7 linked regions of the Mus musculus genome follow. The protein of the gene in region 4 purifies or fractionates together with the protein of the main gene of each other region. This does not show direct contact. Links are inferred from orthologs where the notes say so. Each region holds a gene or a part of one and is shown on either strand. Other genes may lie near its edges. The genes, in order: Alyref, Upf3b, Dcp1a, Upf1, Stau1, Smg7 and Magoh.

Region 1 (4,647 bases), on a different chromosome or scaffold from region 4:
ACTCAGAGATCCACTAGTCTCTGCCTCTGCCTCTCAAATGCTAGTATTACAGGTGTTTGCCATCATGCTGGATGGGGTCTTTAGACAAACCTGGGCTTGAAGTATTCTGCTTCTTTTTTCTGTCGACTTTCCCCTCAGATAATAGAAACTAAAACCCACAATTTTTTGTTTTTGTTTTACCTGGTCTTTTATCAAGTCAGGGCTTTTCTTTGTAGCCCTGGTTATCCTGGAACTTGCACTGTTTGGCTTTTTGTTTTTGTTTTGTTTTGTTTTTTGTTTTTTTTTCAAAACAGGGTTTCTCTGTGTAGCCCTGGCTGTCCTGGAACTCCCTCTGTAGATCAGGCTGGCCTTGAACTCAGAGATTCACTTGCCTCTGCCTCCAGAGTGCTGGGATTAAAGGCGTGCAACACCACTGTCCGGTGGGGTTTCGGTTAGGGTTAGGTAACTTGTCCTGTTGACCAGGCTAAACTCAAACTCAGAGATCCTCCAGTCTCTGCCTACCCAGTGCTGGGAAACCTAGGGATTTTTAGGCTGGTGGAGTAGGCTAAAGTTCTGAGAGCGCATAGGAAGACACTTACAGTCTGGACAGCAGCCATTAAACGCCATCCTGCAGATGCCGCAGTTCTCATCATTGGCTACCCAGAGCCAAGTGGCCACACCATTCCAACATTTAATTTTCACCTTCATGACAACAGAGCCTGTGACCTGAGGGAAGAGGATGACCTGGAGTTAGTACGGAATACGAAAGCACCTAAGCTCAAAGTCATGGAGCTGCGGCAAGTGCTGCACTCGTCAAGAACGGCATCTTCCAAAATTCCGTGCGTCCCGACCAAAAAGAAAGAAAAAGGCACGTGTTTGTCTTTAAAGACGGCAAGGAGAGCCTGTGGGATTAATGGCACGAGTTTATTTTGCCACCTTTAAGGATGCCTTTAAAGATCTGCACTCATGTAGTCTGGCACGGTGGCACACGCCTCTAATCCCGGGGCAGAAGCAGATCAGCCAAACAGGAAACGAAAACAAACAAAAAAACAAAAACAAAACCTCCGCATCCACGCAAAACATTGGTTTTCACTAACCAGGGCCTCGCTTTTAAAGATATGGAAAGAGTGACTGTCACTAATCCGCGAAGTTAAAGCAGGGGTGAGGACGCCAGCTCGTCAGGAGACCGAGCCTTCGAGCAAAAACAACCAAGTCGGACCCACGGACCGGCCGGGACCCCCACGATCGCACGGTGAGGAGGGACGCGGGACGCGCACACTGCGCTGCACCCAGGCGACGCCCGAGGATCTTCCGGCCTCCCAGGGAGGCGCCCGCAGGCCCCGCCCCCTGCTCGCCCTCGCACCTCCGCGGCCTAATCACGAGGCGCCCCGCCCTTCCGTTGCCTCCGCGCGGGAATGTATAAAAACGACCGCGCCGCGTCGGGCTCCTCCGAAGTAGCGCCAGCCACCGCGGCGAGCCGTACGCAGGCGCTCTGCGGAATCGCGCGCGCCCAGACCAATCGCCGCTCGCTTCGGGCCCGCGACGCCGGAAGGCAGGGGGAGGCGCCGGAAGTGACGCCGCGGCGTGCTGACGCGCGGGCTCGATCCGAGGCCCGAATCCGCGCCCGCCATGGCCGACAAAATGGACATGTCTTTGGACGACATCATTAAGCTGAACCGGAGCCAGCGAGGAGGCCGCGGCGGGGGCCGGGGTCGCGGCAGGGCCGGCTCCCAGGGCGGCCGCGGCGGCGCAGTGCAGGCCGCCGCGCGGGTGAATCGAGGCGGCGGGCCTATGAGGAACCGGCCCGCCATCGCCCGCGGCGCCGCAGGCGGCGGCAGGAACCGGCCGGCGCCGTACAGCAGAGTGAGTGCGGGGACCTGCGGCGCGGGCCGGGGAGGGTGCGCCCGGGCCGGCCGGGACCGGGTGAGCGTCCCGCGCGGGACCGCGGCCGAGGGGTGGGCGGGGGCGAGGCCGTCCCGAGGCCAGGATCTTCCGGGACGCTTTGTCCGGTCGTGGTCCAGCCTCGTGGCGGCGGGGGCCGCTGCGAGAGAACTTGGGTGTCCGTAGCGGAGCGGCGGGGCTGGGGGACTCTCGGGGCTCCTCGACCTTGGCCGCGGGGCCGACGGGAGAGCGTCGCCGAGGTGTCGCGGGCTCCCGGGACGAGTCTCACGAGTGTCTCTGTGCTTACGGTTTCTCTCCAGCCGAAACAACTTCCCGACAAATGGCAGCACGACCTCTTCGACAGCGGCTTCGGGGGTGGAGCCGGCGTGGAGACCGGCGGGAAGCTGCTGGTGTCCAACCTGGACTTCGGAGTGTCAGATGCTGATATTCAGGTAGGAGACGGGAGCTCTCCGCTTTCCTCGTCCCACGCGGACGTGGGCTCCAGGATCCTTTACAGATTGGAACCTGCCCTCCCCTAGGCTGCCCAGAGCCAGCCACTGTCACCCTGAGAGCCTTGGCCTCAGAAAAAGTAGGGTTTGAGCACGACCCCATAAGCCAGGCTGCAGGAAGATGTCACACACTGTGTGTGTATGTGTGTGTGTGCGCGCGCCCCCCTAAAAATGAGTCCTGTCTGCTGTCCAAACTGTGAGCGCCTGCCCTGTGCCAGAGCTTACAGTTTCTAACCTGCACAGACTGGCCACAACTCCGGTCCCAGCATGACCGAAAGGTGCTTGCTTCTCAGATTTATGCTCGATATGGTGAACTGATAGGAGAAGGAAGTCCAGCATCTCCCAGATGCTGAGAAAGGTGGCTGAGAGTATCTTCCAGCCTGCGTCTCTGTGCTGGATCTTAACTGGCGATCTTTCCTGGGTCTTACCTGGGTCATGGTTCTCCATGCCTTCGAAATATTTTTTTTCTCTTCCCCTCCCTTCTTGGATTTTGTGTCTTTTTAAATTTCTTTATAAACTGGACCTCAGAGGCATTTAGAGTTCTCTGGTTACAAGGCATAATTTTGGGAATTAGCTTTGATATAGCCAGAACTGAGTCAGGTGTGCTGGGCCTTTCTGGGTACCGTTCCCCAGAGCCCAGCTGTTTGACCTCCCCATGGGAGAAAAGAACAAGGCTGGTGAGCACTCACAGTGTCTCAACACTTCTTTTTTTTTTAAGATTTATTTATTTATTTTTATGGATTTGAGTACAGTGTCACTCTCTTCAGAGACACCTGAAGAGGGCATCAGATCCCATTATAGATAGTTGTGAGTCACATTGGTTGCTGGGAATTGAACTCAGGTCCTCTGAAAGAGAGCAGCCAGTGTTCTTAACCCCTGAACCATCTCTCCAGCCTGTCTCAACACTTTTTTTTAAAGGTGGTTTCTGGCATCCACTGGAAACTGCTTTAGCTAGCTGTACTCCCCACTGTGTGCCTGCAGCTGAAGTGCCTTACTCTGTGGGTTCCCTCTCCAACTCCCAGCCAGGACAGGTTCCATGCTGCATTTCACTTCAGACTTGGCAGCAGCAGGCAGTAGGAGGAAAGGGGAAGGTGAGCTAGAACCTGCCTTTGCAGTAGGGGCTGTGTCACAGTTCCCCAAAATACTGGGCCCTTTGCGTTGTCTGCTCAATGGACAGTTTTACTATTGGCCTCTGGTATTTAGTGAAACGCAGTTAGTCAAGTTGAAAGTACCCCTGCTGAGAGAGAGTTTTGTAGTTTTGTCCTGTGATAGGACTTTGTGTCTTCCCTCATCTACAGCATGGTGTAATTACATTGTCCCACAGTGGACAGTAACCCAGTTGTTCGCGACAGTTGCTGTCTCCCCTTCCCTCAGCTCTTAATCTCCACTGCCTTGCCTTCTTCCTGGGTGGCTGTCAGTCAAGTACCTCTAAAGCATAAGGACTTACAGCAAGTGTTGCTGAGCTACAAGAAGGAAATTGGCTTAATTGCTAATTTTTACCCCTTCCCAGGAACTCTTTGCTGAATTTGGGACATTGAAAAAAGCTGCTGTGCACTATGATCGCTCTGGACGAAGTTTAGGGACAGCAGATGTGCACTTTGAACGGAAAGCAGATGCCCTGAAGGCTATGAAACAGTACAATGGTGTCCCTTTGGATGGTGAGTCTGGGACTGGGCCCTGGATGCCTGTGGGGCGTGTGGAGTTTGGGGCTGGCACCTCTCCCTGTAGGAATCTGGGCTGCCCCCCCCCCCTTGGCTGAGGATACTTTGCATTTGCCCCTTTGTCTCTCTCTTCCATTCTGCCACCTCTCATGCTGCCCCACACATCTGGACCAACCTCTTGTGAACCCCCATCCAGCAAGCTACATCCCTCCCCTCCTTGAGCTCCTTCCGGAAGATTCACTTCTGTGAAGCCTTCTCAGAACCGCCATAGTACAACCTGAGTGCGGGGCTGTAGTCGTAAAGACAAAGGTACCTGTTCTTCTTCCGTCAGGTCACCCACACCTGTCTGCCCATGAGCACCCTGAACACCTGACCAAACAGCCCTCCTAGCCTGAACTGAGAAGGAGTGAGGAGGTGTTGGTGGGGTTATTATTATTGCACTTTATTTTCCCACCAGGCTCTCCAGGCCATTTACCTTGTTGGGGGCATTGGAGACACACAGAGCCCTTTCCAGAGCTTGCATGGAGATCAGGGTGTGGTGCCCTCTGAGTCAGCTTCAGAGCCTCTGGAGTGAGACTTCTTGTGTTCTTTACCATAGGCCGCCCTATGAACATCCA
Region 2 (3,856 bases), on a different chromosome or scaffold from region 4:
TGAAAAATAAACATTTTTTTCTTTAAAAGTTGCTCAGGAAACCGGAAAAAGGAGATGAAAAAGAACTTGATAAAAGAGACAAAACCAAGAGACTGGACAAAGAAAATCTGAATGAAGAAAGAGCCAGTGGGCACAGTTATACTCTGCCCAGGCGTTCTGATGTCGAACTGAAGGATGAAAAGCCAAAGAGGTCAGTCAGCAGTGAGAGCCGGGCCACTAATGCAGATGCCGCCGTGTCCTGGACTTGTATGGAATTAAATTATTTGTCATGGCGCACACAACCTGCAGTAACACTCAGGAGGCTGAGATAGGAGGATGGGTAGCTTCAAGATCAGCCTAGACTACATAGCAAGACCTTCTCAAAAAAATGAACTACTGGGCTGGAAAGATGGCTCAGTGGTTAAGAGCACTGACTGCTCTTACTGAGGTCCTGTGTTCAAATCCCAGCAACCACATGGTGGCTCACAACCATCCGTATTGGGATCCAATACCTTCTTCTGGTGTGTCTGAAGACAGCTATAGTGTACTCATATATATAAAATAAGTAAAATAAGTAAATCTTTTAAAAAAAAACCTCTTATTTAAAAAAAAAAAGGAGCTGCTTTATATGGAGTAGAGGGAGGAGGGTCATATGTTTCAAATATTCTGGTGTCTCCAGCTAGATGAATGACCGCTGTCTTTTTTTTCCTTTTAAAGATTTATTTTTATTATTTTCAGAAATATTATTTATTTCTATTATTTTGTGTGTGTGTGTGTGTGTATCTGTCTGTCTGTCTTGGGTGTGCCTATTTGTGCATGTGCCCAAGGAGGCCAACGGTGTCAGATCCTCCTGTAGCTGGAGTTACAGGCGGCAGTGAGCCACCTGATATGGGCTCTGGGAACCAAATTTGGGTTTTCTGCAAAAGAAATAGACTCTTGACTTATGAGACAGCCCTCCAGCCCTGACTTCTGGTTTTTCTTATTTTCTAAAACAACTCCTACTTTTTCCTCAGCTGTAAAAGTGCACCCTCAATAAGATGGCCAACTTAGAACCACAGTGTTTCCGTATTTGCAATCATAGGATGTGTGAAGGTTTGGCCTCACCGTTGTTTTCTGTTCCGTTCTATTTTGTCTTGTCTTGTTTTTCAGACAGGCTCTCGGAGCCCTGGGCACTTCTCACATCATTAGGCAAAGCACTCTATCAACTGAAAGGTGTCTCCAGCCCTCTTGTTTATTTTTCACACAGGCTCGATGACGAGGGTGTCAGAGATTACAGAGACAGGGACCGGGACTATGAGAGAGATCAGGAGCGCATGATCCGAGAAAGAGAGAGGCTGAAGCGGCAAGAAGAAGAGCGCCGGCGGCAGCAGCAGAAAGAACGCTATGAGAAAGAGAAGGCTTTTAAGCGAAAGGAAGAAGAAATGAAGAGAGAGAAAGAGGCACTTCGAGATAAAGGAAAGAAGAGTGAGAATACAGAATCAATATGCTCATTAGAAAAAATTGAAAAAAAAGAGGAAGTGGTTAAGAGAGACCGCATAAGGAACAAGGTGCTGCTGTTTTTTTATTAAACTTGGTTGTTTTTATGAGGATTCCCCCCCTATTCTTAGAAGGATAAATTTAAAGGAATGTGCCCTATCCCCACCCCCACTAGGTATTGAATCATTGCAAGCTTTCTGCCAGTGAACTTCATCCCCAGTCCCTATTGTGGAATTTTCATTTTCTTTTTTTCTAATTTATGTATTTATTTTTTGCATGTGTGCACATGAGTGTGCACACGTGCATACATGTCCAGTGCATGAATAGTGGTGAGAGGACAGTTTGTGGGAGCCATTTTCTCCTTCCACCAGGTGGGTTCTAGAGATTGAACCCAGGTTGTCAAGCTTGGCAGCAAGTCCTCTTACCCAATGAACCATCTCATCAGCCCAATGGTAATTTCTTTCTTTGTTTCTTTTCTTTTTTGTTTTTCTTTTTCTGTTCTCTTTCTTTCTCTCTCTCTTTTTTTGTTTTTGTTTTTTTTTTTCAAGACAGGGTTTCTCTTTGTAGCCCTGGCTGTCCTGGAACTCATTTTGTAGACCAGGTTGACCTTGAACTCACAGAGTTCCGCCTGCCTCTGCCTCCTGAATGCTGAGATTAGCAGCATGCCCCACCCTGCCCAGCTTCAAAGGTAATTTCTTACTATCCTAATTATTCCTAGTGAGAGTTTCCCAGTTGCATCATTAATGTCTTTTTAAATAAGGGCCATGAACAATGTTCATAGTGTGTGGTTGAATTCTATTTTGATCTAAACAATCTTTTTTTTCCCTGATACATAATTGTTTGTTGTAGAAACCAGTTTGTCCTATGAATCTTCTCAGACTGTACATTGGCAAATTATAACTTCTTTATCTCATTGAACATATATATTCTGTTTCTTTTATAATTACTACTTAAGCACTAGTACTGTCATAGACAACAGCATAAATGGAACCATAGGTTCAAAACACAGCATTAAAAATTTATAATTAAACAATTTTTAAATGAAAATAATAGTCAAATCTTGGAAAAACAGCTGCTAATATTTTAGGCTATCTGAGCCATATAGTCTCTGTCACAACAGCTAAATTCTTTAAGGAAATAGACATGGGTAATATATAAAAATGAGCTTGGGGTTGAGTGTGTTTCTCAGTAGTTAAAAGTGCTGGCCTAGCTTGCATGGCAGGACACAGCTTTTATCCTAGCACTTGGGAGGCAGATGGAGGAGGATCTCTGGAGGACAGCCTGGTCTATTTACTTGAATCCAAGGACAGTCGGGGCTATGTAAAGAGACCCTGTATCAATAACAACACTTGGGGCTGGAGAGATGGCTTAGCAGTTAAGGGGTGAATATTTTTTATTTTTTCAATTGCTAGTACCCATGTCAGGCAGCTCACAGACATATATAACTCCAGTCACTGTGGGCAACTGCATGTACTTATAGATACACATGCATACTACTTCCCCACACAGTTAAAAAAATAATAAGGAAAAATAAATCTTTTTTTTTTTTAAGGCTAGGCATGGTGTATACCTGTAATCCCAGAACGCAGGGGCAGAAGCAGGTGGGTTTCTGTAAGGCAAGCAGATCTTTTCTTTTTTGCTAGGGATCAAACCCAAATCTAGTTAGGCAAGAATTCTACCACTGAGCTAAATCAAGCCAAACTTAAACATATTTTTGTGTAGTTTTAGATTTTTATAATGAATTTATTGCATGGGACATGGTGGCCCATGTCTGAAGGAGGATTTCAAGTTGGAGGTCAGCCTAGGCTACTTTAGGCCCTGTTCTCCCTCTCCCACCACAAAAGGCGATTTACTGGTAGAGAATCACAGGCATGTAGTTGTAGTTTCTCCAGTGACTTACACCCCCCCAGGCCAGTTGTCTAACCCCTGGCTTTGAATGTATTAAACACTCTGTTACTGAGCTACAGCTTGGCCCTTGGTTCTTGTAGTTTCTAAGTTTAAAAAAATTAGGGGTAATTAATTCTTATTACCTAATACCTATAAATTAGGTTATCTTGAGGTAGTTTTAAAATTAGGCGAATACATTATATGCATGTACAAAATTCTCAAAGAATTAATAAAATATTATTTTAAAATTTAGAGGGGCTGGAGAGATGGCTCAGCGGTAAAGAGCAATGACTGCTCTTCCGAAGGTCCTGAGTTCAAATCCCAGCAACCACATGGTGGCTCACAACCATCTGAAATGAGATCTGACGCCTTCTTCTGGTGTGTCTGAAGACAGCTACAGTGTACTTACATATAATGATAAATAAATCTTTAAAAAAATTAGGCAATAGACTTCTCAAAACATCACCCTTGGCATGTTAAGTAATTCTTAAATGACTACAGGTTGAGCATAGTG
Region 3 (4,438 bases), on a different chromosome or scaffold from region 4:
ATATGCATGTGTTCTTTTTAACATGGGATAGTCGTTAGGCAGGCATCTCTTTGGGATGCATTAATTTAAAAATTCTGAGCCACTTTTCCCAGGCTTGGAGAGGAGAAGCAGCTATTGTAGGATTGCACTGCTTGGATGAAGGAAAACTGGAGAAAGACAGGAAGGTTCCAAACACAGGTACACAATAGAAACTGACCATGCTACACGACAATGATCATCACCATTGAAGTGAAATAGAAACACCCTTAAGAAACTTACCTTCGGTATACAAATAACGTCCCTTCTATATCAGTCTTCTCCTGTAACAGACAATAACTCTGTTAGTTTTCCACAAATAATCCAATGCCAAATGGTCTCAGCTGAAGCAGACACACTTTCAGGCCAACTTGTCTTATTTACGGTGGAATCAGCTGTGTATGTGCTCTCGGGAATGCATGCCGGCGCTCGTGTATAACTGTGTAGAGGTTAGTGGTCACTCTCAGGTGTCATTCCTTCCAGTCGGGGGTCTCACTGGCCAGAAGATGGACAATTAAGCTACACTTGCTGGTCAGCGGGCTCCAGTGTTGGATCCTAAGTGGCTCCATATCCCAGTGTGGGATTGTAAGTGCAAGCACTATGCCCAGCTTTCTATGTGAATGCCTCAGGCTCTCATGCTTGGGAGGCAAGCACTTCATCCGCTGAGCTGTCTCTTTAGTCTCCAAATTAATCACTTTTGAGCAGGTAAAGCAAGCCACTTTTTATTTATTTATTTATTTATTTTCCTTTTTCCGGAGCTGAGGACCGAACCCAGGGCCTTGGGCTTGCTAGGCAAGCGCTCTACCACTGAGCTAAATCCCCAACCCATGCCACTTTTTAAAACTCTAAACAAATTGTGTACCCATTCAACCCTGTGTTTATATAAGTGTATGCAATGTCTAATCCAACAATATGTCTTCATCTGTAGCCTATGTCTATTTCCACCAGTAAGGAACAGCTAAAGGAAAACACACACATACATACATACACACACACACACACACACACACACACACTTAGCTTTACTTATTATTTTTATGTATTAAGTTTTTTTTTTCAATTAAAAAAGGTGCAGGAATGTTTTGTCAGCATACATATGTCTTTGTAACATATGTGTGTGTGGAGCTTACAGAGGACAGCAGAGGGCATTGGATCTCTTTGGACTAGAGTTACAGATGGATATAAACCAGCATGGGGATGCTGGAAAACTGAGCCAGGTCCTCAGGAAGAGCAGCAAATGCTCGTAGCTACTACTGAGCCACTTCTCCAGCCCCAGTTTTATCTTTGTAAACACAAAAACCTTTCAATTAGGTATCTTAATATTTACAGTCAAGGTATTGTGTACTGCAACTTAAAAAAAGAAAAACCAAACCAAAATAAAAAAACAAAACAAACTTAAGCAGTCTATGGAAGTTTATAGAAAAAGAATAGAACTTTCTTCAACCCTGATACCAGGGTTGAACTCAGAGCCTGGGGCTCATGATGCACAGCTGTGCACCATTGAGCTAAATCCCTACCCTTGGGAAATTTTCTTATAAGATCCTTTGTTTCATTTCTGGAGGATTTAGGAATATTTTCACAAGTTACACATTTTGCGGTTACCAAACACAATTTATTATTTTCAGAACTTTGTTAAGAATCATGGATAGAAACCATTCTCTGCCTTAGGCAAATTTGGTAGGGTTTTAAAATAAACAACTGAAAATGTGACTAAGAAATTGTAACTCGGGGTGGGTATATAGCCCAGTGGTAGAGGAACAGTGCCTGCCTGCTATCAGGGGGTCTTGGGTTTGAGTTCCTGTACTACAAGAAATAAACAAGAAAATCGAACATTAGTATTCTTTCTTTTGCTGCAACAGCGTTAACTCGGGTTTTCAGCGCAGGTGTTGAGCTTTAATGTTCTAAAACCGAACCTCTGTATAGCCCAATGAGTGAATGAGGAAAAACGGAGCACAAGAAAAGGGGCCGTGTACACAGGTGCTTCGAGTTGAGGTTAACTAGAATCTGCGAGTAGACAAAGTAACTTCTGCAACTCTATGCCACTCACACAATCCCAAAAGAAGGGAGCCATCAAAGGTCCTAGCACTGGTCTCTTTTTCTTGCAAACGTCTCCAAGGAATCCAGTTCTTACTGAAGTAGCCTTGAAAATTTTCCTCAAATTCCAGAGATACAGAGTAGTTCGACTAAAGCTGGTCTAACTCCTGAAGCTGATTTTTAAAGCTTCAAATCCAAACCATCACATTTAGGTCGGCAGGGAAAGAGGAGCGGACTCTTCCATCAAGTACATGTATCTAAGAGTCCTCAAAGTCTTCAAACACAGGCTTTCACTCACTTGTTAAAATTAACTTGTCTCATATTTTACCAATGCAACCTCAAGCCCCGAGAACCGACCCAAAAAGACTGATCCTGCCTCGTTTCTCTCCTCCATCCGATTTCCCTGCTCTGTCTCTGGTCTACTCCTTCCGCTACATTCTTTCAATTCCGCGTGCCCCGGTCACCTCTTTGGCTCCGGACCCGGTTTTGGGAGAGGTCCCGGCCTCGCCTTTGCGGTCCTGGGCTCCTGCTTCTCTCCCCCACCCCCAATCCTCAGCTGTCTGCGCGGTCCCTTTAAGAGGCGGCAGCGGCCAGGCTGGCCTTGTCCCCGGCCGGGCCTCACTCACCCACTGGTTGGCTTTGGGGCAGAAAGTGTACAGGGCGACCTGGCCCGTGAGGTCTGCGATGCTGGTGATATAGGGGTCGTGTTGTTTCAAGGCCGCCAGACTCATCTCTTGCTCAGCTCGACTCAACAACTCCATCTTGGATCTCAGAGCCGAGCCCCTCCGGCGGGGGCGGACTGTGGAACAGGAAAGTGCCATCCAGGCAAAGTTCCCCCAGCTCAGTCAGCCCTCCACTTCCGCCTACCGGCCCAGCCTTGCCGAGCGTGGTACTTCAGCTAATCTCATCCGCTGCTCCTGTGCGCCAGGAGCCCTGGTTCCGATTTTCTTCGGGCCGCGTCTGCCGGAAGAGACAGGCCCCCGCGCCTGCGCGGTGGAGCCGTGAGCTGATAGTCCGGAGACCTCTCTCACCTGGCGGGGTGTGAACCGGTTCCCTGAATGAACCTGACTCCTGCCGGGGAGGCTGCACCCCAGCGCAGTCCCTAACTCGGGTTCCGGCGCAGAATCGAAATGCTTGCTGCTGAGGACATGAGGTCTCCACGTACCATTTAGAAAACTCAGACCTGGCTGGAGAGATGGCTCAGCGTTTAAGAGCACTGACTGCTCTTCCGAAAGGTCCTGAGTTCAAATCCCAGCAACCACATGGTGGCTCACAACCATCTGTACAGCTACAGTGTACTCATATACATAAAATAAATAAATCTTTAAAAAAAGAAAAAAGAAAACTCAGTCCAAATGAGGAAGGGGAGCTGTCCGTCACTTCTGACCTCAGAGTGCACCTTCACTCTTAACAGTTTGGTAACTTTTGAAAGAAATGTTTCAAAGCAGCCAAACTAGCCTGCCTGGAACTACAATAGACTTGGCCTACCCTCTTTTGCTCGTCTTTTTCCTCATCTGGGTCCCAGATAAATATTTCTATTGTTCTATAGAGACGTCTATTATTTAAAATAGTAAGTAGATCTCTTTTAAAAAGAAAACATTTATTGGGCATTTTAAGGGATCAGGAAGTACTAAGAGGTAAAGCAAAGTGCTCAGGCTGTTTTCATTGAGTTGCTTTAAAAACCATCGTTTCTCTTTATTGAAGACATCTCAGCACAAATGAACATTTTTGAAAGGATAAACTTTACATTTTCTCAAAGTACCCCCACATATTTGTGTTGCTTGTGGTTTTACATACTAATGGAAGGGCAAACTTTACATTCTTGACAGAACCGCGTGTGAAGCAACTACAAAAGCTGGAACAGCCGCCTATCGGTTATTCACCCTTCACTTCTGTACACACTCACTGATCTTATTGAGTGGTTGCCAGCTCCGAGCTTCCAACTCTTTTGGCTCTAGGAGAAACTAAACGCAAGCAAACAGCCCCATGATAGATGTCTCTCTTTGAATTCCAGAGGGTGGCGTCCTTATTGCCATCTGAGCCAGGAAAGGTAGTGAAGGAACCTCACTACCAGTTCCAGCATGGCAGGCAAGGTTCTGGCAGACCTTGCTCTTCTCCCCTTTTCCCTCTGCCTTGCTAAAAACTGTTAGATTTTATTCCTAACACTAGCCACCAAGGTCTAGTCCCTAATTTAGCCACTTCTTTCTCCTGAGGCCGACTACCAAAGTCCAGCTATAAAAGTATTGAAGTCCAGCAATCAAAAGCCCCCTTTAGTTCACCTAATTAATGTGCCCAATTAAAATTAAACACATCCTACTGTGGGGTTTCCCCTTTTACCTTTATTAACTGCCGTTTGCCTGTGGGCCACTTCTGCCTCGACATCCAGAGG
Region 4 (3,000 bases):
GGCTGGAGGCTGAGAGTGAAGATACAGGGGGGTGGGAGCTAAGCGTGGCACTGTGGGCCGACGCAGAGCATCCAGGGCCTGAGCTGCTGCGCGTGCCGGCGCCACCAGGGGTGCTCCTGCGCGCAGACCTACTGGGGACTGCAGTAGCCGCCAACGCATCAGTGCCCTGTACTGTGCGCCTGGCGCTGTCACTGCACCCTGGGGCCACTGCAGCCTGTGGGCGCCTGGCTGAGGCCTCCCTGCTGCTGGTGACGCTGGACCCACGCCTGTGTCCCTTGCCGCGATTGCGGCGCCACACGGAGCCCAGGGTAGAAGTTGGTCCAGTGGGCACTTGTCGTACCCGACGGTTGCATGTGAGCTTCCGTGAGGTGGGCTGGCACCGTTGGGTGATCGCGCCGCGTGGCTTCCTAGCCAACTTCTGCCAGGGCACGTGCGCACTACCCGAAACGCTGAGGGGACCCGGCGGGCCGCCTGCACTCAACCACGCTGTGCTGCGCGCGCTCATGCACGCAGCTGCTCCCACCCCGGGTGCAGGCTCGCCCTGCTGCGTGCCAGAGCGTCTATCACCCATCTCCGTGCTCTTCTTCGACAATAGTGACAACGTGGTCCTGCGACACTACGAAGACATGGTGGTGGATGAGTGTGGCTGCCGTTGACCACCCGGGACACCCTTTCAGGGACCGCCCCACGCAAAAGCAGGGACTGTTTGTTCATGTTTTATTGGTGACAAAAAGCTTAAAACAAATTTGACTAAAAATTAAGTTCCATTGCGTTGGCGCAGGTGTGCCTGGGTAGGGGTTGGGTGGCTGCCGCGGGAGGTGGGGGTCCGGGGCAGGGCGCCCAGCAATGAGGCCTCCACCCTCGATGGGGAAGAACCCGCAGGCCGTGCTCACGAGTTCGCCTGTGGCCTCTGAAGCTCAAACTCAAAAACAAATCCTCCGGCTGCGGTGCAGGCGGTGATCCCAGGCTGCGGGGCTCAGGCTTCTCAGCGCTGCCTTTCCCGGAAGCTTCTCGCATCTCTCAGGTTTAACAGTCAGGTCTCTAGAGACAAACCGATCCAAGTACTTCCCATACTCCTTTGAAAGAATCTTTGAAGGGGGTAGGGGGGAGGAAAGGAAAACCAAAAAGAAAAAAAAAAAAAACCAAACAAACAAACAAAAAAAAAAAACCAAAAAAAAGAAAAAAAAAAGAAAAACCAGAAAAACCCCAAACACCGTATTTTCTTTAAATGAAACCCCTTAGCGCTGGGACCGCGCACTGATGCTCCTGGCCGCCCGCTTGGGCACAGAAACGCGAAGTTCGTCCTGCTAAAACGTAGCCCCTCAATCACGAGAAACAAAGAAAAAGAACAGCGGGGCCGGTCCTGGCGAGGCCTCTCCCTCTGGCGGGCACGGCGCTGGGCCGGCCTCGCAGCGGTGCGGGCCTCTCTCCTCTCGCCGCCCACAGGGGGCGCCCGCTCCTCGGCGCTCCGCTCTGTCGTCCTCCCTGGCCGCTCTCTGCTCGCTCTCGCTCCTCTTTCCTCTCCTCTCCTCGGCTGCTCACACAGTGGTGCTTCAGTTTTAGCAGTGGAAAACAGGTATCCATTTATTTTTATTTTTTATTACCCAGAATAAGATGCTGATAGACTAAGCCACATAGCTTAGCTCTTCCTCCGCTACCTGTGATCAGGGACAGGGTTAGAGGTGTCAGGGCCAGTAGAGGCAGGACCTGCCAACACACCATATCTACTTGCCCAGTCTGTCTGGGAAGACCCTGTTTGCACACGTGTGCAGAGAGCTGAACCCACCAGGGCACTTGCCTTCTAGTACTGGGACAGCCCGGTGACCCCGCCGTGCTGGTATGCCCGCTCTCCCTGGTATGTGGAGTCTTGTGAGAGTGCCACGTCAATCTGTGATTTAAACTCATCACCGAGGTAGCTGTCCTGAAAGGCAAAGGTAGTGTGAACATGGCCAGGAAAGCTAGTAGCCCACAGCCACCCAGTCCGCAGACCCGAGGATGGGAAGAAACCCCATACTGCAGCCAGAGTGGCAGGGTGACAGGTTCAGATCCATAGCAGTAGAGTTCATTCACCCTTCAGAAAGGCAGCATCATGGTCTCATGTGTCCCCTCACCCCTCCACCCCCTTTTCTCTGCTGTAGGATGCAGGCCCACCTGGGACAGTTCTGGCTGGGAGAGGCCAGGCTGGCTCATCTGAGAGGGCTGGCTCATGGACACGTAACCCTGTGTGAGGGCACCCTGTGAAAAGGGCTGGGAGGCCACGTCCTGGCTGGCCTGGCTGTTGGGAAGGGTGGTCTGGCTGGGCCCAGGAAGCCCAAAGCGGTTCTTCTGGCGGCCCCCACGGCCAGTCTTGGTTTTTGGGGTGCCCCGACCTGAAAGACAGCAGTGAAATATGGCAAGGTCTACCTAAAGCTAGGAGGAGAGCCTGGGCAGTAGAGATAAAACCGCTTACCAGCTGCCGGCCCGTTGGCCTGTCCGAAGTAGCCAGGTGGCGGCATGGGAGGCATGACCAAGTTGAAGGGAATAGGGATGTTCATGGCAGCCACGTGGCTGGGGCCTGCGCTGATCATACTAATCTGGTCATGGGTCTGGAAGTACATGTTCGAGGGCCGGCCTGCAAAACATTTGAGTCAGATGCAGGGCTCCAGTGGACACTGGCTGCCATGAACTAGCTGCTGGGCCAGCCAGACAAGTAGGGAGGTCGAGTGTGTCTTGACATGCAGAGTGCTGGTAGAGGGTAAGAAATGACAGAAGGGTTGGTGAGATCTGGCCACGATGGAACTTTCTAGACAAACTTGGAAGCTTCCAGAAAGCAGAGGCCAGCCTAGCTGAGGTAGACACAGGTTTGTTGCAGGATACAAGGGCAGCAGCACTCAGGCAGACAGGTGGCCTTAGCAGTTCTAAAGGGATCATGGCCCAAACCACTAGCTGAGGCCAGAACAGCTCTTGGGGACCTGGTTGGAGAAGCTACAGAAGCTACTGGACAAGTTCCAGACGGAGGCC
Region 5 (3,856 bases), on a different chromosome or scaffold from region 4:
CTCTTCTTCATGTGCTTGCCGCCCTGCCCAAGCTGGACCCAAGGGACAGTGCTACCTCAGCCTCCTAAACAGCCACCTCTCCCTGTCCCTTATGGCTGCATGGCTGCTTTCCTTGGCTAGTTCTTAAAGCTAATCTTCCCTCCAAGTGCCTTAGAAAGCTGAAGACCTACAAAGTTTGGTTTGAAATTTGACTGTCTATGAGGGAGCCATGCCAGCTGGTGCCATCCATAGGCTGCATCCACCCTGGAGATAAGTCTCTCACTGGCATGAAGCTGGTCAAGCAACTACCAACAGTCATCCTAGGAATTACTTACTCAGGCTGGAGAGATGGCTCAGTGATTAAGAGCACTGACTGCTCTTCCAGAGGTCCTGAGTTCAAATCCCAGCAACCACATGGTGGCTCACAGCCATCTGTAATGGGATCTGACGCCCTCTTCTGGTGTGTCTGAAGACAGCTACAGTGTACTTACTTATAATAATAAATCAATCTTTGGGCCAGAGTGAGCAGAAGTCCTAAAATTCAATTCCCAACAACCACATGAAGGCTCACAACCATCTGTACAGCTTCAGTGTACTCATATGCATAAAATAAATAAATAAATTTTTTTTTTAAAAATTACTTACTCTCCAGGCACAGGAAAACAAAAAAAAAAAAACAAACAAACACAAAAAAACCTGTAAGATTCCTTTTCTACCCTGTAGTTTTAAATCACAACCCATGGCTAATAATATTAGCATTAACCTTTAGCAGTAGCTAAAACAAACAAAAAGTTCCAAATTCTTCAACACCTTCTTTTCCACACTGTGAGTGCCCTAGAAGCCACTGGATAATGCTTGTACTAGAGTTGAGAGTTCATCTAATGTGGTCTTTAATAAAAGAACACACAAAGGTGAGTCTCCTTATCTCCTTCCTTTAGCTCTGGGACTGCCTAACCTAGAAACCATGACAGAAGCCAGGCTGTGGGTTCAGAGAATTGGCTTTAATAACTGGCTTCCTTTTCCTGTCTATAAGGATTCTCATTCTTGAGATGCAGTCACCAAACTGTGAGGAGGTACCAACAGCCCCTGTAAGAGGGACACTACCCAGAAACTACGGTGCCCTGTCAGGAGGAGCCATTTTTCTACTAAGTCCTCCCAAGCTGGTGACGTCCTGGTGAGCTTCCTCTGCCAGCAAGCCGCCACATCTAGCCCTGCTCAAGCTGCAGATCTTTGAGTAAAATACATGCACCATGTTCTAGGATAACGTGCTAACAAAAGACTAAAAGCATTTCTACAGAAAATGGTGGTGGGCTGAAGGTCACAAATACTCTTAATTTAGCACCACAAATCATGGCTTCTAGCTGGGCGTGGTGGCTCACAGGTTTGATTTCAGCACTCAAGAGGCAAAGGCAGGCAGAGCTCTGTGAGTTCAAGGCCAGTTTGGTTTACATTGTGAGTTTAGGCCAGCCAGAGCTACACAGGAAAAACAAAAAACAAAAAGAACACCAATCAGCAGCTCCAAGAGCATAGGTGTCAGCACTGAGAATCCGACACTCACAACTCAAGAGCCCCGGCCTTCCCACACCCACCATGTGCTCTACACTCCATTGCCAGGGGAAAAGGAAAGGCCATTTGCTTTCCTGCTGAGACATTTAGGGGACACTTTCCCAGTGACAGAATCTGGATTAATTACCCAGTAGTACAGACAGCAGCAGCACCTTGGAAGTCAGTGAGGTGTCTCAAGCTCGCGTCCACCTTACCTCCAACCTTTCTGGCAGGGGTTCACTCTGCAGAGTCCTCAGCGCACGGGCAGGGGCATCGTGTTTCACGGGTGGTCTCATCTTTCCTTTCCCATTAAACTGCTGTCCGCCCACGGAGAGCTCAACTTGGTAGAGTAAAGGTGGGACTGGAAATGGGTAAAAGTATCTACAAACACAAGGGTAGGGTCTCAGTCTCCATCTCCTAAGTCAGCCATACTTTCTTCAGCAAACCCCACTCTTTGTGTACTCTGGCCTTGTCACCGTGCTCATAGCTAGAAAGACCTCCTGGTCAGCTCTACAAAAGCTGCCCTAAAACTCATATGATCTACAGCTGCCACACTGTGACTAAGCAGAGCGCTAGAGTCACACTTACTCTAGTAGCTGACACATGCTATGTACGCATCTGATGCTCCACAATAGGCCATACTGACAGTGCCTGAATGAACGCAGGTGCTGGCCGAGACAAACTTAGCTTGCTTTCCTTTCTCAAGCCTTCAGTGTGCACTTGCACATCTCTCAAAGAGTCTGGGAATTTTAAGGGTGACGTCTTTTGGAAATGACCCTCATTTTGGAAATCTCAGCAGCACCAAGTCCAAAAGAGTCTGGTTCCTTCTACTTCAAAACCTGTATTTTTGAGGTTTTGCCCTCCTGCACCTCATCAGAGGATGGGTGGAAAATGAAACAGCTGCCTCCATCACTGATCTGTTCACTAATGTCTCACTCCTGAAGCAAAGGTTTGAACATACAACAAGAGTTTATGTAGCCCAGGCTGGCCTGGCTTCTACTTAGCAGATACTCTTTCTGCTTCCACCTCTGGAACTCTAGGGTTATAGGCCATCTGCAGCCACTTTAGGCTCTGACCCTTCTGAGCACTATTACTTAGTCTCAGCGTTGCACAAAGCACAATGTCAGAGAAGACTTTCAGGAGCATGTGCTGAGGAAACAACGTAGCCAGACCATGGGTGTGAATGCAGCTGCTCCTGAGCAACCTGCTTGGGCCCTCTGCAAAGGCAGTAGGCTTCAACAGTCCCAGCACAGTACCAAAGGCACACCTTAAGTCCAGAGGTGAACCTGAGGCAGACCAAATCATTCACAATTCATAGAGACTACTTTAGGGAAAAACCCAACTAATTCCACCCCAAGCACATACCTGGGGGGATAGGCACCTCCACGCATGCCATAGCTGTAGGTGGACTGCATCCGAGAGTGAGGGTCCACGGGCTTATACATTGGTTTTCTTTCCAGTTTCACACACAGTGCATTGAGCTCAATGGTAGAAGCTATACTTTCTGCAACACAAAATCATACAAAGGATGGTTCAGGCCCTGGACACTGATGCTAACAGCCAAGCACTCTACCCCTGGACATCCATCAGGAAATCCAAGAATCCACACAGTGTACAGAATCACGGGAAAAACCTGGGTAAGTTGAGGGAAGTGGATGTCTAGAGGAGGCAAATGAGGACCAGAAAACATCCAGATATCTCCAACCTAACATTACAGTGGGGCTGAACCATGGTCACAGATGACAGGAAACCCAGTTTCATTTTCATATACATCAACAGGGAACTTTAACCTCAGAATTGATGACTTGAGAAAATACAGACTAAGACTGGAGATAGGGCTCAGCAGTAAGAGCACTTGCTGTCTAATCATAAAGACTAGAATTCAGATCCCTACATTGACACAGCAAGGTCCCACACATGTCTGCTACCCCGGCTCTAACAGGACTGCTGTCTTCCAACCTAGCTGAGAAAACATGAGCCCACATTTTAGGAAGAGGTCCTACCTCTAAGGAATAGGTGGAAAATTTCATGAGAAATCCCAGTGCTGTCTTCTGAACTCTATACACAGCACACACATCTGCACACATGTGTATACACACTCACAGAAATACACACACTACTCATCTTCTAATTTGCTCTCTTAGGTCATCTAATTCACAAACCTTCACAAACCAAAACAGCTCGAAAGATTATTGTCATGGCATAACCCACATTTTAAAAAAAGATTTATTTTATGAATATGAGTATACTGTAGTTGTACAAATGGTTGTGAGCCTTCATGTGGTTGTTGGGAATTCAATTTAGTACCTCTGCTCGCTTCAGTCAGCCCTGC
Region 6 (4,623 bases), on a different chromosome or scaffold from region 4:
AGCCAGCTATCTCTGCATTAAAAGTATCAGCACTTTCCAGTTTGTCATCACAATCCTCCAACTGCCAAGACCTTATTTCAAGCACTAAAGGTCCACATAGTTTATGACACAGTAATTTTCTCAAAGCTGTAAACCTACAAAATGCCTTTTTGTTGTTGCTGTTTTTTTCGAGACAGGGTTTCTCTGTGTAGCCCTGGCTGTCCTGGAACTCACTCTGTAGACCAAGCTGGCTTCGAACTCAGAAATCTGCTTGTCTCTGCCTCCCAAGCGCTGGGATTAAAAGCGTGTGCCACCACAGCCGGGCTTACAAATTGCCTTTTAACAAGTCATCTCAGATTTCTTTCTTTGAGACAGGGCCTTATGAAGCCCAGGTGGCTTTGACCTTGCTAAATAGTGGATGACCTTGAACTTCTGATCTTCCTGTTTCCTATTTCAGAATGATAGGATTACAGGCGAACTTTATTATACTCAGTTTTATTTAGTGCAGGGTAAGCAAGCATGCTATGTTACAAATGAAGCTATATTCCTATCTCTATCCATCCCTCATCATAATATTTCTGATGTCTACTTATTTTATCTATAAACTAAAGATCATAAAATTTAAGACCCTTCTAGCATCAGATTACAGAATAGGTTTTCCTGTGTTCATATAAAAATACACGGCCTTATTTTCCTTTCTATCATTTCAAAGGACCTTATAGTGTATTTATCTGTTCATGTTTACTGACTTTCTATCAAGATAGACTACCCCATGCTCACCCTTGTTTCACCAGTGAAGTCTCAGCTCCTAGATTATAGAAAGCCCTCAGTTCACACTTGGGCAAAGAATGAGCATAGATATGCAGCACAGAAAGCTGACATGAAGCTACAAGACAAGCATTTGAATTTGTTTTTACACACCAGCCATTCGATCCTCAATAGCTTCTTTGGACTCACCTTCCTAATCTGCAAAAGAAAAAAGTTAAACTCCATTCAAGCCCTCCAGCATTCTTGCCTAACCAAACACCACTCCCCCTTCCATTTCCTTATTATCTATGTCCTTCCATTTAGAATCTCCCTTTCTTAATCCACAGCTGTCAGGAAGAGTCCATCCTTATAAAAGTTTAAGTGTTCTTTTCTTCTAAAACCTAACAAACTAGTAAGTTCTGTAAGAGGGTGGAGTCCTTACTCTCTATTCTTAGCAGTTGGTACAATGCCTTACCTACAGGTGAACAACCAACCAATCAATGAATCATAGGAGTAGAAAGAGCAGATGAACAAAGAGAGCCTTTCCTATTTCCCTCAACTGCTCAGGTCATCTAGGACTCAAAAACATGGTACCTTTTTGTGGTGATAGCTACATTAGTCTGTGCTATTAATTTACTCACACACTGGATATTATCATGTAATTTCCTTAAGATTAAGAACTGTCCTGGTAGTTTCTATTTTTTTCTACTGCACCTATATATTCACAGCTCACTGTAAAGTTTACTTAATGCAGTAATAAGGGTAACAGAGGAAAAAAAAGAGAATGCCACCTTATAATATCAGGCATACACATTGTGCTAAACTCTGGAATTCATGCATCAAAGATTCAGAGATCCCACCACTCTCTCTCCAGTGTAATGAATAACTACTTTCAAAGACAGAATAGCCACTCTGTTTACCACAGAACAACATCAATTCTCTTGCAATATAAATATATATATGGGACCACTCTTAACACATCGACTTCCACATCACTTATGTCTAAACAGCTAAAGAAAATCTTACTCAGTTATCTACCCATTCAATTCTCTTCTCCTCAAGGTTTCAACTCACTTTTTAAAAGTATCTTCCCAAATAAGACCTGCTATTTAAAAGAAAAACACTGTTCCTGAAAGACAAAAAGGCCAGTTTGTAAGTTCCCAGTCTTAGCAACTCCTCCATTAGCCTCAGGCACTAGCAACCTTATTTCCCATTGTGAAGGCTGTATTTTCCCCTCTAGTTTCCTCCAAGCTCTCACTCAAAATCCGTCAAACTATTCTGACTGCACACCAGCTGCTGTCTTTCCATTCAAAATGTTCTCGACGTCGGTGTTAATGCATGTGAGTCTTCTTTAAGTGTGCATCAATCCCTGCTTCCCCTCCCTTACCCCAGACACTCACACACACACACACACACACACACACACACATACACATACACACGCACGCACCCCCAGTACCCATGGGTCACTCTATCTCCTTCATACAAGTTCCTTACATCGCACCTAATGAATGCACACGACTCTCAGAATGGTATCTTCCAACTACAGTTTCTTTCGAGAACATCACCTTGTTCGTAGCACCTCCCTCTTCCCTCGTCTCCCCATCCTTTTTCCCCCTTTCCGGGCTCTCCGACCCCTCTAACTCTGGACAGAAGGCATTATTTCTCCTCCTTCCAGCCCGCGACTAAAGAACAAGCTCGCGTTTCCTGCGGGCTCCCCTTCCTCTCATTTGCCCTCCAGAATGCGCCCTCCCAACCCCCAGGTGTGCCGACTTCCATCCTCCTCTCTCCTGCATCGCCCCGGCCAGCACACCACGTTTCCCGGGCCGTGGGCTCCAGACCCCTTCACACCCACCTCGACTCTGGGTCGCTGCCGGCTCTCCTCTCCCCTACCCCGGCCCCGCAGCCTGCGACCAGAGGCGCGCGCGCGCGCGCGCACACGCACACACACACACTCACACACACGTTCTCGTCTCCCGCTTCCCCAACCTCCCTCCGCTCCTCGCCCGGCTTCCCCCGGAGCGCGGCTCGCCCGGCTTCCCGGGGGCCAGGCAGCCATGTGTGTGCCCGCCCCCTCCCGCAGCCGCCCGCTCGGCCCCGCGCTCGGCCTCCCCGCCCTGGGGACAGAAGGACGCCGCGACTCCCCCACCGCTTCCGAGTCCGCCGGTCCTCGGCCCCCCGAGAGCCTCCCCTTCCCCCGTCGCCACCACGCCTCGGCCAAGCTCCGGCGCTCACCGGAGATACTGCGCGCTCTGCAGGCTCATCCTCCGCCGCCGCGTCTCGCCGCGAAGCCTCCGTGGGTCTCTCAGGCTCCTCGGAGCGGCCCCGCGGCCCCGCGGGTGCTGGCGGTCGCCGCCATCTTCCTCTCCTCCGACTCCTCCTCGCTTGGCGCGGGGTGGGGGGGGGGGAGAGTGAGTGAGGCGAGGGGGAGGGAGTTGGGGGGAGCGGCTCCGGCAGCGGCTGCGGCTCTGGCCTGTGGGGCGCAGGGACGCTCCGGCTCCGGAGGGGGGGGGGAAAAAGAAGGGGAAAGGGGCGGGGAAAGAGGAGGGGAGAAGCAGAGGAAGGAAGTCGGGTTCGCTCTCGCGAGACTTCAGCAGCGCCGGTCCCTCTGGGTGCTTTCCGCCGCTCTGTAGCGCTCCCTCTTGGGATCGGCGAGCGGTGCGGTGCCCGCGCGCCGGCCGAACGATCCGGTGCTGGTGCCCGGCGGCCTCCTAAGGCTCCGTCCTGTTCCTCCCGGGCGCGGGGGCGGCCCCCGGCTCACCGCGGACATCGAGCCCAGAGCAGCCCGGAGTCACACTCAAAGCCTTCCGCCCGGCCACCCGCCCACTTCTCACTTCCTTCCTTCTTTCTTTTTTTTTTTTTTCCCACTCCTCCACTTTCCCCGCCGGAAACGCCACCCCTTCCTCCTACAGTTCCGCCCGCCAATTCCTCGACTCCGGTCGTCCCCTCGCGCGCCGGAGAGTGACGCAGAGGCCTCCCCCGTTTCAGCCGCCCCTCCCCGGGCACTCTGGGAGAAGGTTGGGGGGGGGGGGGGGAATAGGGCGGAGCCCAGGGAGAAATAGAAAGGAAAACCAATCCGATTGGGCAGGCCGCTGCCATGGAAACTGGAGGCTGTGGTTGTATTGTCATAGTAACTGCCGTGTGTAGACAGGGTGACCCTCCCGTAGAGAAACGGGTTCCCTGGAAACTGCCCAGGATTCCCCACTTGGATTCCCTGCCTTTTTAAAAGCCAGAAGTCGAAATGGTTATCCGAGTAGGAAAGTCCATTTCTTCCTCCCTTACTCTCCCAGCAAAAATTGGGGGAGACCCCGAAGCATTCATTTTAGGCATTGCCAGTCCCCCAAGGGTGGAAACCACCTCCATCGTTGCCTATCTGAGCCGGGTAGGGAGAGGGCCGGGCCCGAGAAGAAAAGGCAGGTTATGAAGGCCGGCGGCGAGTGGGTGGGAACGAGAAAGCGAGGGCGATGCTGCGAAGTCAGAGGAAAGGGAAGGGGCTTCCCCACCACTGTTTGAGGCTGGGCAGCGGGATCCCGCCAGAAGCGGGTCCCTAAGGGAAGAGACGGGCACATGACAACCGAGATGCGGCTCCGGCGATCGCGAATGTTCGACTTTTTGTAGCCGGTCGACCCTTGCCTAATTCCTACTCGATATCACCGGCGAGACCTCCCGTAGGCGACTTAGTGAGAGCTCGAACCCAGCCTAGGAGGCTAACACGCAGTTCTTAGGCATTTAGAATGGAGAGCGATCAGAAAGGCTGATGACGTTCTTTCCAGAGGTACCCTCAGAGAGAAAAGACGCTCCGTCATCGAAGGTTGATCTCCAAAGACCCCCTCCTCAAAAACATCTGCAGTGTTTTAGAACTTGCCATAAAAAAAAAGTATCTAGATTTATCTGCAT
Region 7 (2,941 bases), on a different chromosome or scaffold from region 4:
AAACGCTGTCTCAAAAAAAAAAAAAAAAAAAAAAAGTGGGTGGTGTGGTCCTCCTCATAGGGGCTCCAGGTCACAGTGGTTCAGTATCATGGAAGGGTTGGTTTCAGGAATTCTGGTACTAGAGTCTTTAGTGCTTAATTTCCTTATATAAATTAGTGTCATGTTTGCTTGAAGCCTATGTACTTCCCATATAAGTCATCTTTATAAAACCAAATTCTGGGAAATAGCCGTTATAATGTATCGCTTAGGAAATGATAAGAGAAAATGTCTGAACATACATGTGACAGTTGGAAACCCCATAGACCTAACTATATCCACTCATGGCTGAGCCCACAAATGCAGATAGAGTTGGGCCAGTTGTATTTTCAGAAGTTGCTTCTTGTAGTTAATGTAGTTACTACTTCTCAGTGACATGGAAGAATAAATAGTGACAGCTGCTTCTCAGTGACATGGAGGAATGTGTAGTGACAACCAGAAGAGGAAATGACATGAGGCCACACAGTGCTGTGTGACCCTCACTGGGCGAACAGCTTCTCTGTGCTGACTGTTCGGACTAGCTCATCTTAGTCTTGGTGAAATTTGAAATCTTGCATCTAAGTTTTAAAATGCATGTTGCCAATGGTGTGACTTCTAACACTAGGATGTGATTCTATTTGCTATAAAGAACCTTAGAATTTGGCAGGCTCTCTGCTTTCTGGACACACTTGTCAGTGCTGCTTGCTACTTTAAATTTTCTTCTTCAACTCTTAGAACAATAGATGGTCATTGTAGAAAATACAGGAGCTATAGAAAAGAGAAAGGGGGAGTTCTTTCATATCCTTAATAGACAGCCAGTGATAACATCTTTTTGGTTTCAGAAAGGCTCTTATTATCTAGCTATGACTGTCCAGGAACTCAGCTATAGTGGTCAGGCCAGCCTTGAACTTTGAATAGAAGCATGTGTGTCTCCTCTGCCCAGCTCTACCTAACATCTCCACGTGTAATGTCTTAGTCTTAGAGAGCACCAGGAGCTGAGGCAGGTGGTGCATGCTTGTAATCTCCAGTACTCGGGAGGAATAGCGCAGAAGATCAGCTCACGCTGCGAACCCGAGATTGTGTTACTTACTTTGAAATACCCTGCCTTTAGGTGTGGTGTGGCTCAGCCTTAGCACACACCTGTAATCCAGGAGCTTTCCGCTTGAATATTATAAACATGATTAAGTCGACCATAGGCCAAAAGGCAGAGCAATCAGTTGACAGAGAGTGAACATAGGAAAAAACTAGAGAGTAACAGGGAGTTGGGAGAGCTGAGAGGTGCAGGACGTAGAAGGGAGGGGCATCCAGTTTGAAGGAGGAGCTTCGGAGACGCTTCTAGGACATTGGTTGATGAGGAACGTCAGCTGGGCGCTTTCTCTGCCCCTCTGAGCTTTCACTCCAGTATCTGGCTCTTGGAGGCTTCATTGATAAAACCAAACAATTCAGATTTTGTTTTAAAGAAACAACATAGGAATCTCATGATTGAGCCATTCTGATGTGTGTATATATATAACAAGACCCAGCCTCAAAAACAAACAACTTTTAGCCCCCTCACCCTGTGTTGGGGTGGAGGTAGAACTCTTTGTTTAGGTTTGTGGTACTAGGAGTTGAACATAGAGCATCTATCCATCACTGACCTGGTTTCCAGCTCTATGTATAGTTTTGTTTTAAAAGCACAAGAGACAAAATCTGTTTTAGAAATCACAGTTTTTCCCCTAAACTTTATATATTTTCACAGTAAAAACAGCATGGCTTCCTAATATATCATTTTAGTAAGTGGCCCTTGTTAATGGACATGTGCTTCCTCAGGGTTTATTACTGTAAATATCTTTATAAGGAGCATTTTTATAGTAATCGGGGTTATTAATTTTTTTTTGGTATTTGCCAGTTTTCCTCTGCTTCTTAAACATTTTGGTTTTCTTTTGTGTTTTAGGGATCCGGAAGGCTTGCGAGTATTTTATTATCTTGTCCAGGACCTGAAGTGTTTAGTCTTCAGTCTGATTGGATTACACTTCAAGATTAAACCAATCTAGATATTGGATATTGTGGACACAAGGCGGGTGGGAGTTTTTAGTTACCATAATTAGGATTTTTTTTCTGTATATTGGGGCAATTTTTATAAACAATAAATGATGATCTTTAATAAATGCGATAACATCTTTTTTTGTTATTTTTCTAAACACCTGAATATGTGAATTCTCAGTCTGTAAGATACAAACATTCTGTGGGAGACTTGACAAAGCAAAGAAAAAAACAAACCTAAGCAACTAAGAACTGCCATTTACAGGAAATGATGGGGAAAGGTTTAAAAATTCAGTGAGGGCCAAGGAGATGGTTCTGGCAGGAAAAGCTTTAATGCATAAACTTGACCACTACCCACAGCCCTGGGACCTATGCTGGGCCTGGACTAAGCCACCCAGGAGCAGAAAGCGATCCTGTCTGAGCAAGGTGGAAGGCAAGAACTGACTCAGAACTTCCACCCCTTTGCTGTGCCATGGGTGTGCGCTAGCACACACACTGCTGAATATTTTTTTCAATACATTGAAGTTGAGAACCCCATTAGCAATATTCTAGGACAAGGTACCTGGGTTTTGTTTTGACCACGCCTCCCCTCCCTTTCCTGTCCAGGATGACTTTGAACTTGGGATCTGTCTCCCAAGTGCTGGGATTTTAGGCAGGTGCCACCACACATAGTTCAACCTGGATTTTTAAGTTTCAAGGGAAATGGAAACCCTGAAGATTTACAAGATGACTAATTGCTGGAGTTATAGCTCAGTAGTAAAACACCTGACTAGCATTCATAGCTTCTTGGGCATAAAATTTTATTGTGGTTGGGCATTTATTTTTTATTTATGTATATGGGTACATTGTAGCTATCTTCAGACACACCAGAAGAGGGCATCAGATCCCATTACAGATGGTTGTG

What was found.
Region 1: the proteins of Upf1 (region 4) and Alyref purify together in Homo sapiens (co-immunoprecipitation; 3 studies listed by BioGRID and IntAct, with this or other methods). This does not show direct contact. The link is inferred for Mus musculus from reciprocal best matches to the Homo sapiens genes UPF1 and ALYREF.
Region 2: the proteins of Upf1 (region 4) and Upf3b purify together in Homo sapiens (co-immunoprecipitation; 16 studies listed by BioGRID and IntAct, with this or other methods). This does not show direct contact. The link is inferred for Mus musculus from reciprocal best matches to the Homo sapiens genes UPF1 and UPF3B.
Region 3: the proteins of Upf1 (region 4) and Dcp1a purify together in Homo sapiens (co-immunoprecipitation; 4 studies listed by BioGRID and IntAct, with this or other methods). This does not show direct contact. The link is inferred for Mus musculus from reciprocal best matches to the Homo sapiens genes UPF1 and DCP1A.
Region 5: the proteins of Upf1 (region 4) and Stau1 purify together in Homo sapiens (affinity purification with mass spectrometry; 7 studies listed by BioGRID and IntAct, with this or other methods). This does not show direct contact. The link is inferred for Mus musculus from reciprocal best matches to the Homo sapiens genes UPF1 and STAU1.
Region 6: the proteins of Upf1 (region 4) and Smg7 purify together in Homo sapiens (affinity purification with western blotting; 7 studies listed by BioGRID and IntAct, with this or other methods). This does not show direct contact. The link is inferred for Mus musculus from reciprocal best matches to the Homo sapiens genes UPF1 and SMG7.
Region 7: the proteins of Upf1 (region 4) and Magoh purify together in Homo sapiens (affinity purification with western blotting; 3 studies listed by BioGRID and IntAct, with this or other methods). This does not show direct contact. The link is inferred for Mus musculus from reciprocal best matches to the Homo sapiens genes UPF1 and MAGOH.

The regions. Positions count from the first base shown.
Region 1 is NC_000077.6:120,595,300-120,599,946, reverse strand, and holds the start of Alyref (THO complex subunit 4), read left to right. Parts: upstream 1-1,581; 5' UTR 1,582-1,608; coding exon 1,609-1,842; intron 1,843-2,180; coding exon 2,181-2,312; intron 2,313-3,879; coding exon 3,880-4,027; intron 4,028-4,226; exon of another isoform or gene 4,227-4,339; intron 4,340-4,628; coding exon 4,629-4,647. Other genes in the region: Anapc11 (anaphase-promoting complex subunit 11), read right to left, coding at 579-687. UniProt on the Homo sapiens protein: Functions as an mRNA export adapter; component of the transcription/export (TREX) complex which is thought to couple mRNA transcription, processing and nuclear export, and specifically associates with spliced mRNA and not with unspliced pre-mRNA.
Region 2 is NC_000086.7:37,093,192-37,097,047, reverse strand, and holds part of Upf3b (regulator of nonsense transcripts 3B), read left to right. Parts: intron 1-29; coding exon 30-190; intron 191-1,225; coding exon 1,226-1,526; exon of another isoform or gene 1,527-3,856. UniProt on the Homo sapiens protein: Involved in nonsense-mediated decay (NMD) of mRNAs containing premature stop codons by associating with the nuclear exon junction complex (EJC) and serving as link between the EJC core and NMD machinery.
Region 3 is NC_000080.6:30,478,054-30,482,491, reverse strand, and holds the start of Dcp1a (mRNA-decapping enzyme 1A), read right to left. Parts: upstream 2,928-4,438; 5' UTR 2,871-2,927; coding exon 2,676-2,870; intron 300-2,675; coding exon 259-299; intron 1-258. UniProt on the Homo sapiens protein: Necessary for the degradation of mRNAs, both in normal mRNA turnover and in nonsense-mediated mRNA decay. Removes the 7-methyl guanine cap structure from mRNA molecules, yielding a 5'-phosphorylated mRNA fragment and 7m-GDP.
Region 4 is NC_000074.6:70,330,822-70,333,821, forward strand, and holds the end of Upf1 (regulator of nonsense transcripts 1), read right to left. Parts: intron 2,612-3,000; coding exon 2,450-2,611; intron 2,370-2,449; coding exon 2,152-2,369; intron 1,922-2,151; coding exon 1,802-1,921; 3' UTR 1,799-1,801; exon of another isoform or gene 1,787-1,798; intron 1,659-1,786; 3' UTR 672-1,658; downstream 1-671. Other genes in the region: Gdf1 (embryonic growth/differentiation factor 1 precursor), read left to right, coding at 1-656. UniProt on the Homo sapiens protein: RNA-dependent helicase required for nonsense-mediated decay (NMD) of aberrant mRNAs containing premature stop codons and modulates the expression level of normal mRNAs.
Region 5 is NC_000068.7:166,961,690-166,965,545, forward strand, and holds part of Stau1 (double-stranded RNA-binding protein Staufen homolog 1), read right to left. Parts: intron 3,029-3,856; 5' UTR 2,970-3,028; coding exon 2,890-2,969; intron 1,906-2,889; coding exon 1,740-1,905; intron 1-1,739. UniProt on the Homo sapiens protein: Binds double-stranded RNA (regardless of the sequence) and tubulin.
Region 6 is NC_000067.6:152,899,548-152,904,170, forward strand, and holds the start of Smg7 (protein SMG7), read right to left. Parts: upstream 3,100-4,623; 5' UTR 2,991-3,099; coding exon 2,962-2,990; intron 1-2,961. UniProt on the Homo sapiens protein: Plays a role in nonsense-mediated mRNA decay. Recruits UPF1 to cytoplasmic mRNA decay bodies.
Region 7 is NC_000070.6:107,885,229-107,888,169, forward strand, and holds the end of Magoh (protein mago nashi homolog), read left to right. Parts: intron 1-1,948; coding exon 1,949-2,048; 3' UTR 2,049-2,196; downstream 2,197-2,941. UniProt on the Homo sapiens protein: Required for pre-mRNA splicing as component of the spliceosome. Plays a redundant role with MAGOHB as core component of the exon junction complex (EJC) and in the nonsense-mediated decay (NMD) pathway.